4 linked regions of the Saccharomyces cerevisiae S288C genome follow. Changing the gene in region 4 together with the main gene of any one other region gives a genetic interaction. Each region holds a gene or a part of one and is shown on either strand. Other genes may lie near its edges. The genes, in order: ARO7, UBC7, RER2 and ERG11.

Region 1 (3,311 bases), on a different chromosome or scaffold from region 4:
CTCATCGTCAACAACAACAACCTCGTGACCTCTAGTTTGTAAATATTTCTCGCCCTTACTTTTGAAATTAACGTTCTCACCGACAACACAGCGTGGAATACCATACATGATGATGGCACCTGTACACATGTCGCATGGAGACAGCGTCGTATACAAAGTGGTATCTTTGTACACTTTGCCCTCTAATCTCCCACAGTTTTCCAAAGTGGAGATCTCACCATGTAGTGTGGCGGATCCCTTTTGAAATCTCATGTTGTGACCACGACCGAGAACACTTCCGTCTTTGTTATTGATAAGACATCCGCCAATAGGAACACCACCCTCTTTGTAACCTAAGGCCGCCTCCTCATAGGCAATGTCCATACCCTTCTGATCCCACTTGCTTGCCATTCCCCCTGTCACCATTAGCTATGAAATTTTTAACTCTTTAAGCTGGCTCTCATCAACATAAAACAATGGCTTGTAGATCTCATTGTCGAATTGAAAATGAACTTTTTAATTTCGCAAAAAAAAAAAGAAAAGTTCAGGGTCTCCGGGTACTACCGCCCCTGCAAGGAATGACCGGTGATAATGGAAGAGAAGATATTACAGCGACAGTATAATTAACAAACACGTTGTGTCTTTAGGCTCGTAACTAACTGTACGTATATCTACACACCATAGGTCACTACTTGCAATATATTTGTTATGCTACACCATAAGTTCGTATACCCATTTTTATTCAAGTGGCACTTATCATGTGTAGAAAAGTGTCCCCCACAAATCACTTTTATAGCTAAGTATGCTACAGCGAACGATAAAAATGGCAATAGAAAACTTACGATAAGGGATGAACAATGGCCTGAGTTGGCAGATCCAACTCCCTATGATATTTTTGGCATTCCAAAGGCCGGATCTGGAAATCCTAAACTGGACAAGAAGTCGTTAAAAAAAAAATATCATCGTTATGTAAAATTGTACCACCCTGACCATTCCGATAACATTCAAATATTTAGCTCAGAAAAGGTTACCAACAGTGATAGTAAATCACCGCTGCTGCTAACATCAAGCGAAAAACTACATAGATTTAAAGTCATCTCTCAAGCATATGATATTCTTTGTGACCCAAAGAAAAAGATCGTATATGACACAACGAGGCAAGGCTGGACCACATCGTATTCACCACGTTCTAACGTTAATACTGAAAATTACCAATATGCCGGCTCTTATGGCTACCACTCTAACGCGCAGTATGAATACTGGAACGCTGGGACTTGGGAAGACGCAAATAGCATGAAAAACGAAAGAATTCAAGAAAACATCAACCCATGGACCGTTATTGGCATAATTTGTGGCCTAGCTATATGCATCGAAGGGACTGCGTTGTTAGCCAAAATCCAGGAGTCTCTGAGCAAGGCCGAATTTACTCATGACGAAAGTGGATTACATTTGATTCAGTCATACACGAATTATGGTCTTGATACTGACAAATTTTCCAGATTGAGGCGGTTCTTATGGTTTAGAACTTGGGGACTTTACAAGTCGAAAGAGGATTTAGATAGAGAAGCCAAGATCAATGAAGAAATGATACGCAAACTGAAAGCAGCTAAATGAAATCACCTATTGCGCCGCTCGCGGAATACAATTACTAAATTTTATATATATTCTTTAAAAATGCATCTATACATTCGTTTTTCCACGTATACCAAATTCGAAAAAAGTTGTTAAACCATCGTTTTCACGTTTTTTAATTTTTTTTTGGTTCTCTTTTTTTTTTTTTTTCAATATCAACTTTTTTTCAAACTTCGTGTTGCATTTCCTTTATCGTAAATTTTCAATGGATCTCTATAATCTTCGAAGTTCGAAGAAAAGAAGAAAAAAAGTATTGAAAAGTTGAAACATCGATTCCGTTTTGCTAACAAATAGCACTCAGCATCCTGCATAAAATTGGTATAAGATATGGATTTCACAAAACCAGAAACTGTTTTAAATCTACAAAATATTAGAGATGAATTAGTTAGAATGGAGGATTCGATCATCTTCAAATTTATTGAGAGGTCGCATTTCGCCACATGTCCTTCAGTTTATGAGGCAAACCATCCAGGTTTAGAAATTCCGAATTTTAAAGGATCTTTCTTGGATTGGGCTCTTTCAAATCTTGAAATTGCGCATTCTCGCATCAGAAGATTCGAATCACCTGATGAAACTCCCTTCTTTCCTGACAAGATTCAGAAATCATTCTTACCGAGCATTAACTACCCACAAATTTTGGCGCCTTATGCCCCAGAAGTTAATTACAATGATAAAATAAAAAAAGTTTATATTGAAAAGATTATACCATTAATTTCGAAAAGAGATGGTGATGATAAGAATAACTTCGGTTCTGTTGCCACTAGAGATATAGAATGTTTGCAAAGCTTGAGTAGGAGAATCCACTTTGGCAAGTTTGTTGCTGAAGCCAAGTTCCAATCGGATATCCCGCTATACACAAAGCTGATCAAAAGTAAAGATGTCGAGGGGATAATGAAGAATATCACCAATTCTGCCGTTGAAGAAAAGATTCTAGAAAGATTAACTAAGAAGGCTGAAGTCTATGGTGTGGACCCTACCAACGAGTCAGGTGAAAGAAGGATTACTCCAGAATATTTGGTAAAAATTTATAAGGAAATTGTTATACCTATCACTAAGGAAGTTGAGGTGGAATACTTGCTAAGAAGGTTGGAAGAGTAAGCATGAAGGCTATCACGGTAACAATTCCACATTGCCGAGTGATTACTACGCATATATAAACACACACACTCACCATATATATGTACGCATAGTAGCATCTATTGAATATAAGAAGATAGAGTTTCAAGTTATACATTATATTGTACTATTTTCTTAAACGATGGCTCATAAATTCTATAGGAATTATCAACCCAATAACCTCATCGCTAATTCAAAAGTAGCAAAAGTGGCACCATTGGCGGGAGCAGCTCTTAGCATGGTAGGACCAAACCCTTTGAAAAAAGCGCCTATCCCTCCATTGGCATATAAAGTCTTGGCTACACTGGAAATAGAATTACCAAATTTAGGCTTTTGTAAATTATCCGTTTGCATGACAGACTTGATGACATCTAATGGATATACCATCAACCATAAGGCAGTGCCAGACAATGCTCCAAAAATACAAAGTTTCCATGCAGGAATGTCCTTTCTCTCTAGTCCACGTCTTTTGTTCATTTGGTTAGCAATCAACGCTTCATACACTAAGAAATATGTGCCACATCCATGACCTTCTCTCAATATTGTAGGTGTTAAACCACGTAGCAAGGCCTTGTTATGTCTTA
Region 2 (2,590 bases), on a different chromosome or scaffold from region 4:
ATGGTGGTTCAGAGAGTAGTAGGGTGCATTTTCATTCCTGTTGCCTCAATGTGTTTTCTATCTGTATTTACGTGATTTTATGAAGTGGTGGCATCGCTTAGATGTGGTGCATAATTAGAGACTAATTTTTGAAACCACGCATGAATGTCAAGTAATTCTAACTGAGCATCTGTCATCAATGGCACTTGCAACTTCAAAAAATCCCACCAATATTTTGACGGCACCAATTTACCTTTGAATTTTATTTGAGTTTTCCTTGTTAATCTTGCATTCAGAATTCCATAGAAAAAGAATTTTTCAAATGGAATTATATTTGTAGAGTGAGAAAAACATCCATCACAAGTGCAGTTATCCGGAGGACATATGCATTCCTTGTCAGTGCATTTACAATCATCCAAATAATCCATCATCTTATCAGTAATTTGAGCTTCACCAATATTGGTTAAAGGAACACCACTTTGTTGAATATAAGAATTCAGTTCCTCTTCGCTTCTATGGATTAGACAATTAACACATGGGCAGCTTTCATCTTCACAAGAGCACTGCGTGCTTAAAAAAATGCCCTTATGAGTCAGGACTTCAACTTTCGAAGCAACGTCGCTTGAATGAGGAGCAGCAATCGTTGTTGTACTTTGTGGGGTGAGTGTTTCTGAACTGTCATGCGCACCAGGAACAGAACTATTGTAGTTTTCTTGTAAAATATCGTTAAAAGCGGACGTAGATTCCAAGGAGCCGTATGGCGTAAATATGTCATCAGACGGTGCCTTGTTCGTCTTGCCATTAGAAGCTGGGTTCTGTGATTTATCTTTCTTACAGCAGTTTGAAAAATGTCGTATAGGCTCCTGTTGAAGCCGGCTTCGCTCTTTCTTCTCACTTGAAGAAGATGACTTGGTAGAGTCCGGAGATATTGTTCCTGTTGCCGGAGCTTTGGGAGAGTGTTTCCTAAGAAACTCCGTTTCGGTGATATATTTGTTACCATCATCGGTAAATGTGCTAATATCTTTAGGCTCATGAGCAGTGAAACCTTCCTCCATTAATATATGCAATTTTCCGTTTATCATTCTTGCCTTTCTAACAGCAGAGGCACGTACAAACAGTATTGGCTGTTGATTCATTGCGCTGCAGCAGTCACCTTCAATTTGTGCACCATTTTCGTATTCTGTACTTTGCGATGTAGAGTCTACTAAAATAGCGTCTCTGATAGCCATGGGTGAAGGTCTTCCTCTAGTTCTCACCTTAATTAGCATTCGGTGAGAATGCCTGCATGTTGAAGAGCGATGCCCTCTGATGCACGATGCACACGCATATTTGTTCCCATTAAATATTATCATCTCTGATAGAGCTTGAAGAACTTACCAGACTGTTTCAAGTTTAAAACAAGGCGCCTCATCGCATCTACCTCACGAAGATGCAGCAGCTTATTGTCTCGAGATCCTTCTTATAACTCCTTTTCGCCATTACCCGAAAACGAGATTACAGCCTCTAAACCAAGAGCTCGAAAAGCGCCAAAGTAAACTCTGGCGTTTAGCGTACGAAGGAGATTATCCTAAAAGGAACTTCCCTAGTAATAGTGTAATTTGGAAGGGCATAGCATGTCGAAAACCGCTCAGAAACGTCTCCTCAAGGAGCTTCAACAGTTAATTAAAGATTCTCCACCTGGTATAGTGGCTGGTCCCAAATCGGAGAATAACATATTCATTTGGGACTGCCTAATTCAAGGGCCTCCAGATACGCCATACGCTGATGGTGTTTTTAATGCTAAGCTAGAGTTTCCTAAAGACTATCCGTTATCTCCACCTAAACTTACTTTCACACCCAGCATACTACATCCAAATATTTATCCAAATGGGGAAGTGTGCATATCCATTCTACACTCCCCTGGTGATGATCCTAACATGTACGAATTAGCGGAAGAAAGATGGTCGCCAGTGCAAAGTGTAGAAAAAATTCTATTAAGTGTTATGAGCATGTTGAGTGAGCCCAATATCGAAAGTGGTGCCAACATTGATGCTTGCATCTTGTGGAGAGATAATAGACCTGAATTTGAGAGACAGGTAAAGTTATCCATTTTGAAATCATTAGGATTCTGAAAGCAGGTAGCAGGTTAATGATCATTTGGTCTTCCTTTTAACTGTTCTCTATATACATAAATAAGCATATCTACCATCTAAAAGAAAGCAAATGTCACATAATAAATATGTTAAAATCTCAATGTCTTCCTGGCTTTTCAGGAATTCAAACCATTTCCATTTCGTTGGTGTATAATCAGGGGCCCCTCTACTCTCACCTCTCTGTACCGAAGCGTTAATCAATTTTCTTTTATTTATATACACGATGATTGTAACTAGGTTATTTTCCTATACAAAATTTGCTGAACACTGAATCTAAGATTTCCTCAATACCAATAGCTTGTCCTGTTATCTTAGCTATTCCATCGGATGCATACCTCAAATTTTCTGTGGCCAATACTATATCATTATGGAAATCTTTGGATTTGAAAAACTCTTCCAAGCCGTACAGTACGTCGTTTTTGAGAATCTCTGACACTCTTTTGGAAACAATGACAGGACTTGCATCGGCACTTGATTGA
Region 3 (2,974 bases), on a different chromosome or scaffold from region 4:
TTCTTTCAACGGCCGCTGCTCTGAACCACTTGAAAGTGGCTTTATGTTATCTTCACCATCATTACCTTCGGATGGAGGATTTATTTCCGTTACTTTTGGTAAAAAATCTACCATTATTTGAGTATATGCAGGTCTCCTTATATACCAAATGTCTGATCCGAACCTGCGTCAAATATATTTGCAAAGGAAAAATATAAATAAATAAATAAAATTGAGAAATAAAGAATATTAGTTTTAATGGAAAACAGTTCCTACAAGCGCTATAACATATGAAATATACATTAGTCGAATATTAACTTTGGGAGGTAATTACAATTCCTATCCGCTTTATATAATTTAGTGGAACTGGCACGCCGCTCGGAAAAATTGGACTTCAAATTACCCCGCGCGGAGATTTGCATTATAAACTCTATAAAGATGCGTGAATTTCTACTCATTTATTACTAATTATTTGAATGTTCTTTTGCGAACTCATTTATCTTGCTCATTACTCTATAAATATCTATGCCATGTGGTAGGAAAAAAATGCAGACCTTTCTTAATTCAACTTTTTTTCTTTCAAATCGATGGGGTCCCCATTGGTTTCCTCGTCATAATCACCTTCCTCTAATCTGTACTCTTTGTTTAAAAAGGATTTGTGAAACGAAAATTTTAATAAAATCCATGCCATCCGTATAGGTCCAAACTCTGGCCATAAACAATCCAGCAATTCGATGCGTACGCCCTTACTCGATGCCTGCCATATCAAAAAGTCACTTAATCTGGAAACGCCACTTGTCCTAATCAATAAATCTAAAGGGGGTACCCCCGCCGTGTAGAGATGCGATTCTAACGTGCTTTCGTCTATAGCGGCGCCCTTCTTATGTTGAACAATTGTTTCTTTCATGGCATGCAAGATTTCTTCCCTGCCTGTATATGGAAAGCAGATATTTAACGTGGCCCTTTTGTTGTTCTTTGTAGTTTCCACAGCAACCCGAACATCTTCTAATAGAGACTTATCCAACAAAGAGAGATCGCCGATAATTTTAATGCGTACCCCATACTTACAGGCCAGCTCTCCACGTTCTGTGATTTGTCGTATCCTTTCGCGCGCTAAAGTCATCAGTGATTCAACTTCCCGTGAGCTCCTCTTGAAATTTTCAATTGAAAAGGCAAACACGGTAGCCGTATCGACTCCTGCTTCATAACACAGTTCTAAGATTCTACTCATACTAACAAATCCTGCCTCGTGGCCCTCCTTTACGTCCATCTCTTTCTTTCTAGCGAATCTCCTGTTCCCATCCATGATGAACCCAACATGTCTAGGTACACAGTTAGATGCACGCAATGTGCGCGAAAAGATGTTTTTTGTCCACTTTAACACAAATGAATGACCAGGTATACCACTATCCGTTTCCATACCGTCTTTTACCTGTGTTTACCCTATTTTTACTGCTTAAGTTCTATTGAAACCTGTCATTATTACGAAAATTTTTTTTTTTTTCATTCTAAGCATTTTGTTGGCATCTTCGGAAAAAGCCCGAGCGAGGGTAACAGGGTTAGGGGATTAGAAGATTAAAGTAAGACACATTATAATCTATAGAGATTTTCTACAACACAAGAAGTGTGCCATTCAGTCCGAATTGAGTACAGTGGGACGATGTTTCAAAGGTCTGGCGCTGCTCATCACATCAAATTGATTTCATCTCGAAGATGCCGCTTTAAATCCTCCTTTGCAGTTGCTTTAAACGCTGCCAGTAAGTTGGTAACTCCCAAGATTCTTTGGAATAATCCCATATCATTAGTCTCGAAGGAGATGAACACATTGGCCAAAAATATAGTTGCCCTCATCGGGTCTGGCCATCCGGTGCTAAACAAGGTTACTAGTTACTATTTTGAAACAGAAGGCAAAAAAGTACGTCCCTTGTTAGTGTTGTTGTTGTCAAGAGCACTTTCTGAAATTCCCATGACAGAAAGAAATCACTTGAAAATTGACAAGTCGGATGTTCCTGAGGACCCAATTTACTCTAAACCTAGTCAAAATCAACTATTTCAACGTCCTGCAAGTAGCATATCCCCACTACATATTCTTCACGGTATTAAACCACTAAATCCCTTGACAAAAGGTCCTGAGCCTTTGCCAGAAGAAACTTTTGACAAACAAAGAGGGATTTTACCCAAACAGAGAAGATTAGCAGAGATTGTAGAGATGATACACACTGCGTCTTTACTTCATGATGACGTTATTGATCATTCTGATACAAGAAGAGGAAGGCCAAGCGGAAATGCTGCCTTTACCAACAAGATGGCCGTTTTGGCGGGTGATTTTCTCTTAGGGAGAGCAACAGTGTCAATTTCAAGATTACACAACCCCGAAGTCGTAGAACTAATGTCTAATAGTATTGCGAATCTTGTCGAAGGTGAGTTCATGCAACTGAAAAATACTTCCATTGACGCGGATATCGATACCATCGAAAATGGCCATAAGCTACTTCCGGTTCCTTCTAAAAAGCTTGAAGTTAAAGAGCACGACTTTCGTGTTCCAAGCCGCCAACAGGGGCTGCAATTATCTCATGATCAGATTATAGAAACTGCATTTGAATACTACATACACAAGACCTATCTGAAGACTGCTGCTTTGATATCAAAATCTTGCAGATGTGCTGCTATATTATCTGGGGCATCACCTGCCGTTATCGACGAATGCTATGATTTCGGTAGAAATCTAGGTATATGTTTCCAACTCGTAGATGATATGCTTGATTTTACTGTGTCTGGAAAAGATTTAGGGAAGCCATCCGGCGCGGATCTAAAATTAGGTATTGCTACTGCTCCAGTCTTGTTTGCATGGAAAGAAGACCCATCTTTAGGTCCACTAATTTCACGCAATTTTTCAGAGAGGGGTGATGTTGAAAAAACTATTGATTCTGTGAGACTCCATAATGGTATAGCGAAGACGAAAATACTAGCGGAGGAATATAGGGACAAGGCATTA
Region 4 (3,911 bases):
AAGCACCATCAAACTTATGTGAACGGATTCAACACTGCTGTTGACCAATTCCAAGAACTCTCAGATCTTCTGGCCAAGGAGCCCTCTCCCGCAAACGCAAGAAAAATGATTGCTATCCAACAAAACATCAAGTTCCATGGCGGTGGTTTCACAAACCACTGTCTATTCTGGGAAAACCTGGCTCCAGAGTCGCAGGGCGGTGGTGAACCACCCACCGGCGCTTTGGCAAAGGCAATCGACGAGCAGTTTGGCAGTCTGGACGAGCTGATTAAGTTGACCAACACAAAGCTAGCAGGCGTGCAGGGCTCCGGATGGGCCTTCATTGTGAAAAACCTCTCTAATGGAGGCAAGCTGGACGTTGTTCAAACCTACAACCAGGATACCGTCACAGGCCCACTAGTTCCTCTAGTTGCCATTGACGCCTGGGAACACGCCTACTACTTGCAGTACCAAAACAAGAAAGCCGACTACTTCAAAGCCATTTGGAATGTGGTCAACTGGAAAGAAGCATCCAGAAGATTCGATGCTGGCAAGATCTGAAGAAAGAAAGAAAGAAAATACCTTTTTTTTTCCACTGTGTCGTTTTTATTCTAACTACTCTACTAAATCACACAACCACACTCCCCTATTTAATAATATATTTTACTATTAAAATACATATACATGCATCGTAAAAAAAGAAAAAAAGAAAAGAAAAGAACCGAAAAAGACAATACAACCAACCTTCCTCCACTTTTTCTTTTTCCTTGTTCTCTCTCGCTTCCTACGTTACTCGCGCCTGTGCACTACATTCCCACCAGATTAACTCACCACCAGGCAGAGAACCAATTGTTCTTGTTATTGTTCCAACCGATAATTGTAAAGCCATTAAGGTCGTAAACGACTGCTTACTCAGGGAGATCTCCGAAAACGGCAATTGCTGTGCACCGTGCGACGTTATGATCGCCGCCTGTCCCGTACAGACGAACAATTGCAACAATGGGCGGTTGTTTAGAGAGGTTTTGTGCCGCGCCCGGGAATTACCGGGGGCACAGCAAAATACGAAATTTCCGGCAAAATGTCTCTGTACGAAAATGAGGCCAGCCTTTATTCCCGACTAAGCCGTACGATTATAGTAATGTCACACGAAGTGGATACTATACGAGCAGCGCACATACAATGTGCGTGCAAGATTTGCCGGGTTGGACAATCTTAAAGGCCGATAATCCACGAAAAACGAGACAAACGAAGCGCTGGCCCTAAACGAAACGAAACGAAACTAAGATTTCAAGATAATCGCTTTTCAGATGACAATAGTCTCTTGCAGAACACAATAAGTGTGGTAGGTATCTTGCAGGAGACATCGATTTTATGCCTGAATTTTTTTTTTTTCTTGGTATGAGCACATCCTATTGTGCATCTCCACGAGTTAACGACGTTTACGTACTCGCATGTATTCGAAAAGCCTCTAAAAATTGCCCTCCATGTGTATTCATTATATAAGATAGCGTATTTTCCCTTAGTTTTCTTATTCCCTCTTAATTCTCTCTTTCAATGTCTTTTTTTTTTTCCCTTTTCCTTTTTCCCTTTTCGTTATTGGTAAATTATTTATAAAAAGATTGATAAGCAGTATCGTTCAGCGTGTGTATTTTCGATAGGAAGTAATAATTTTTCATTATATTAATTAATAGTTTCCAGAAAAAATTTTTTTTCCTTCACAATTGCAGCAGGCTTGAATAGAAACAGAACAAACGAGTAATACAAGGATGTCTGCTACCAAGTCAATCGTTGGAGAGGCATTGGAATACGTAAACATTGGTTTAAGTCATTTCTTGGCTTTACCATTGGCCCAAAGAATCTCTTTGATCATAATAATTCCTTTCATTTACAATATTGTATGGCAATTACTATATTCTTTGAGAAAGGACCGTCCACCTCTAGTGTTTTACTGGATTCCATGGGTCGGTAGTGCTGTTGTGTACGGTATGAAGCCATACGAGTTTTTCGAAGAATGTCAAAAGAAATACGGTGATATTTTTTCATTCGTTTTGTTAGGAAGAGTCATGACTGTGTATTTAGGACCAAAGGGTCACGAATTTGTCTTCAACGCTAAGTTGGCAGATGTTTCAGCAGAAGCTGCTTACGCTCATTTGACTACTCCAGTTTTCGGTAAAGGTGTTATTTACGATTGTCCAAATTCTAGATTGATGGAGCAAAAGAAGTTTGTTAAGGGTGCTCTAACCAAAGAAGCCTTCAAGAGCTACGTTCCATTGATTGCTGAAGAAGTGTACAAGTACTTCAGAGACTCCAAAAACTTCCGTTTGAATGAAAGAACTACTGGTACTATTGACGTGATGGTTACTCAACCTGAAATGACTATTTTCACCGCTTCAAGATCATTATTGGGTAAGGAAATGAGAGCAAAATTGGATACCGATTTTGCTTACTTGTACAGTGATTTGGATAAGGGTTTCACTCCAATCAACTTCGTCTTCCCTAACTTACCATTGGAACACTATAGAAAGAGAGATCACGCTCAAAAGGCTATCTCCGGTACTTACATGTCTTTGATTAAGGAAAGAAGAAAGAACAACGACATTCAAGACAGAGATTTGATCGATTCCTTGATGAAGAACTCTACCTACAAGGATGGTGTGAAGATGACTGATCAAGAAATCGCTAACTTGTTAATTGGTGTCTTAATGGGTGGTCAACATACTTCTGCTGCCACTTCTGCTTGGATTTTGTTGCACTTGGCTGAAAGACCAGATGTCCAACAAGAATTGTACGAAGAACAAATGCGTGTTTTGGATGGTGGTAAGAAGGAATTGACCTACGATTTATTACAAGAAATGCCATTGTTGAACCAAACTATTAAGGAAACTCTAAGAATGCACCATCCATTGCACTCTTTGTTCCGTAAGGTTATGAAAGATATGCACGTTCCAAACACTTCTTATGTCATCCCAGCAGGTTATCACGTTTTGGTTTCTCCAGGTTACACTCATTTAAGAGACGAATACTTCCCTAATGCTCACCAATTCAACATTCACCGTTGGAACAAAGATTCTGCCTCCTCTTATTCCGTCGGTGAAGAAGTCGATTACGGTTTCGGTGCCATTTCTAAGGGTGTCAGCTCTCCATACTTACCTTTCGGTGGTGGTAGACACAGATGTATCGGTGAACACTTTGCTTACTGTCAGCTAGGTGTTCTAATGTCCATTTTTATCAGAACATTAAAATGGCATTACCCAGAGGGTAAGACCGTTCCACCTCCTGACTTTACATCTATGGTTACTCTTCCAACCGGTCCAGCCAAGATCATCTGGGAAAAGAGAAATCCAGAACAAAAGATCTAAGGTTTGTAACTGAGAAAAAAAAAAAAAACAGAAAAAGAGAGAAGTTGTACATTCACGTGGGCCTTATCGCCACACTCATCCATCTCCAATGATTTATTTTATTTGCCAGTACGTTTGATATGACATCGAGTTATGTTCTTTAGTTACTTTCAAACTTGGACAACCATCCCGCATTATTTATGAGTGGTATGGTTTCACTTCTTTATTTATAAATATTTATACTACGAAATTATATATAGATTACATTTCTAAAACAACATCAAATATAAGGTTTATTTATGCAACATGCCTACTGGATTAGAAGAGAGAACACACAGCTCACAGGCCAAGCGGAAATAAAGCAGTCTTTTCGCAAACTTGTAAATCTTTTTGCAATTTAAATTAATCAAGAGAGGGCCCAGGAGGAGAGGAGTTTTGGGGAGGGGTCACTGAGGAAGCTCTCTTAAATATGGATTCACTGAAATAAATGTATATAAGATTCATTACTGCTTTTTATAGTGATAAATCCAAATGATGAGTGAATTGAACCATCCTTAGTATCCATTGTTTTATAAAGCACCGCTAAAAATAATA

Evidence for each region.
Region 1: mutations in ERG11 (region 4) and ARO7 together harm fitness more than expected from each alone (negative genetic interaction), as found in Saccharomyces cerevisiae (2 studies listed by BioGRID).
Region 2: mutations in ERG11 (region 4) and UBC7 are lethal when combined (synthetic lethality), as found in Saccharomyces cerevisiae (2 studies listed by BioGRID, with this or other methods).
Region 3: mutations in ERG11 (region 4) and RER2 are lethal when combined (synthetic lethality), as found in Saccharomyces cerevisiae (2 studies listed by BioGRID, with this or other methods).

Annotation. Positions count from the first base shown.
Region 1 is NC_001148.4:674,259-677,569, reverse strand, and holds ARO7 (chorismate mutase ARO7), read left to right. Parts: upstream 1-1,938; coding exon 1,939-2,709; downstream 2,710-3,311. Other genes in the region: FCY1 (cytosine deaminase), read right to left, coding at 1-405; JID1 (Jid1p), read left to right, coding at 688-1,593; YMC1 (organic acid transporter), read right to left, coding at 2,896-3,311. UniProt on the Saccharomyces cerevisiae protein: Catalyzes the Claisen rearrangement of chorismate to prephenate. Acts at the first branch point in the aromatic amino acid pathway where it steers biosynthesis towards phenylalanine and tyrosine, and away from tryptophan.
Region 2 is NC_001145.3:317,088-319,677, forward strand, and holds UBC7 (E2 ubiquitin-conjugating protein UBC7), read left to right. Parts: upstream 1-1,592; coding exon 1,593-2,090; downstream 2,091-2,590. Other genes in the region: MAC1 (Mac1p), read right to left, coding at 78-1,331; MSS1 (Mss1p), read right to left, coding at 2,350-2,590.
Region 3 is NC_001134.8:241,170-244,143, forward strand, and holds RER2 (ditrans,polycis-polyprenyl diphosphate synthase), read right to left. Parts: upstream 1,400-2,974; coding exon 539-1,399; downstream 1-538. Other genes in the region: alpha,alpha-trehalase NTH2, read right to left, coding at 1-114; COQ1 (trans-hexaprenyltranstransferase), read left to right, coding at 1,640-2,974.
Region 4 is NC_001140.6:119,518-123,428, reverse strand, and holds ERG11 (sterol 14-demethylase), read left to right. Parts: upstream 1-1,745; coding exon 1,746-3,338; downstream 3,339-3,911. Other genes in the region: superoxide dismutase SOD2, read left to right, coding at 1-540; YHR007C-A (uncharacterized protein), read left to right, coding at 664-879. UniProt on the Saccharomyces cerevisiae protein: Sterol 14alpha-demethylase that plays a critical role in the third module of ergosterol biosynthesis pathway, being ergosterol the major sterol component in fungal membranes that participates in a variety of functions.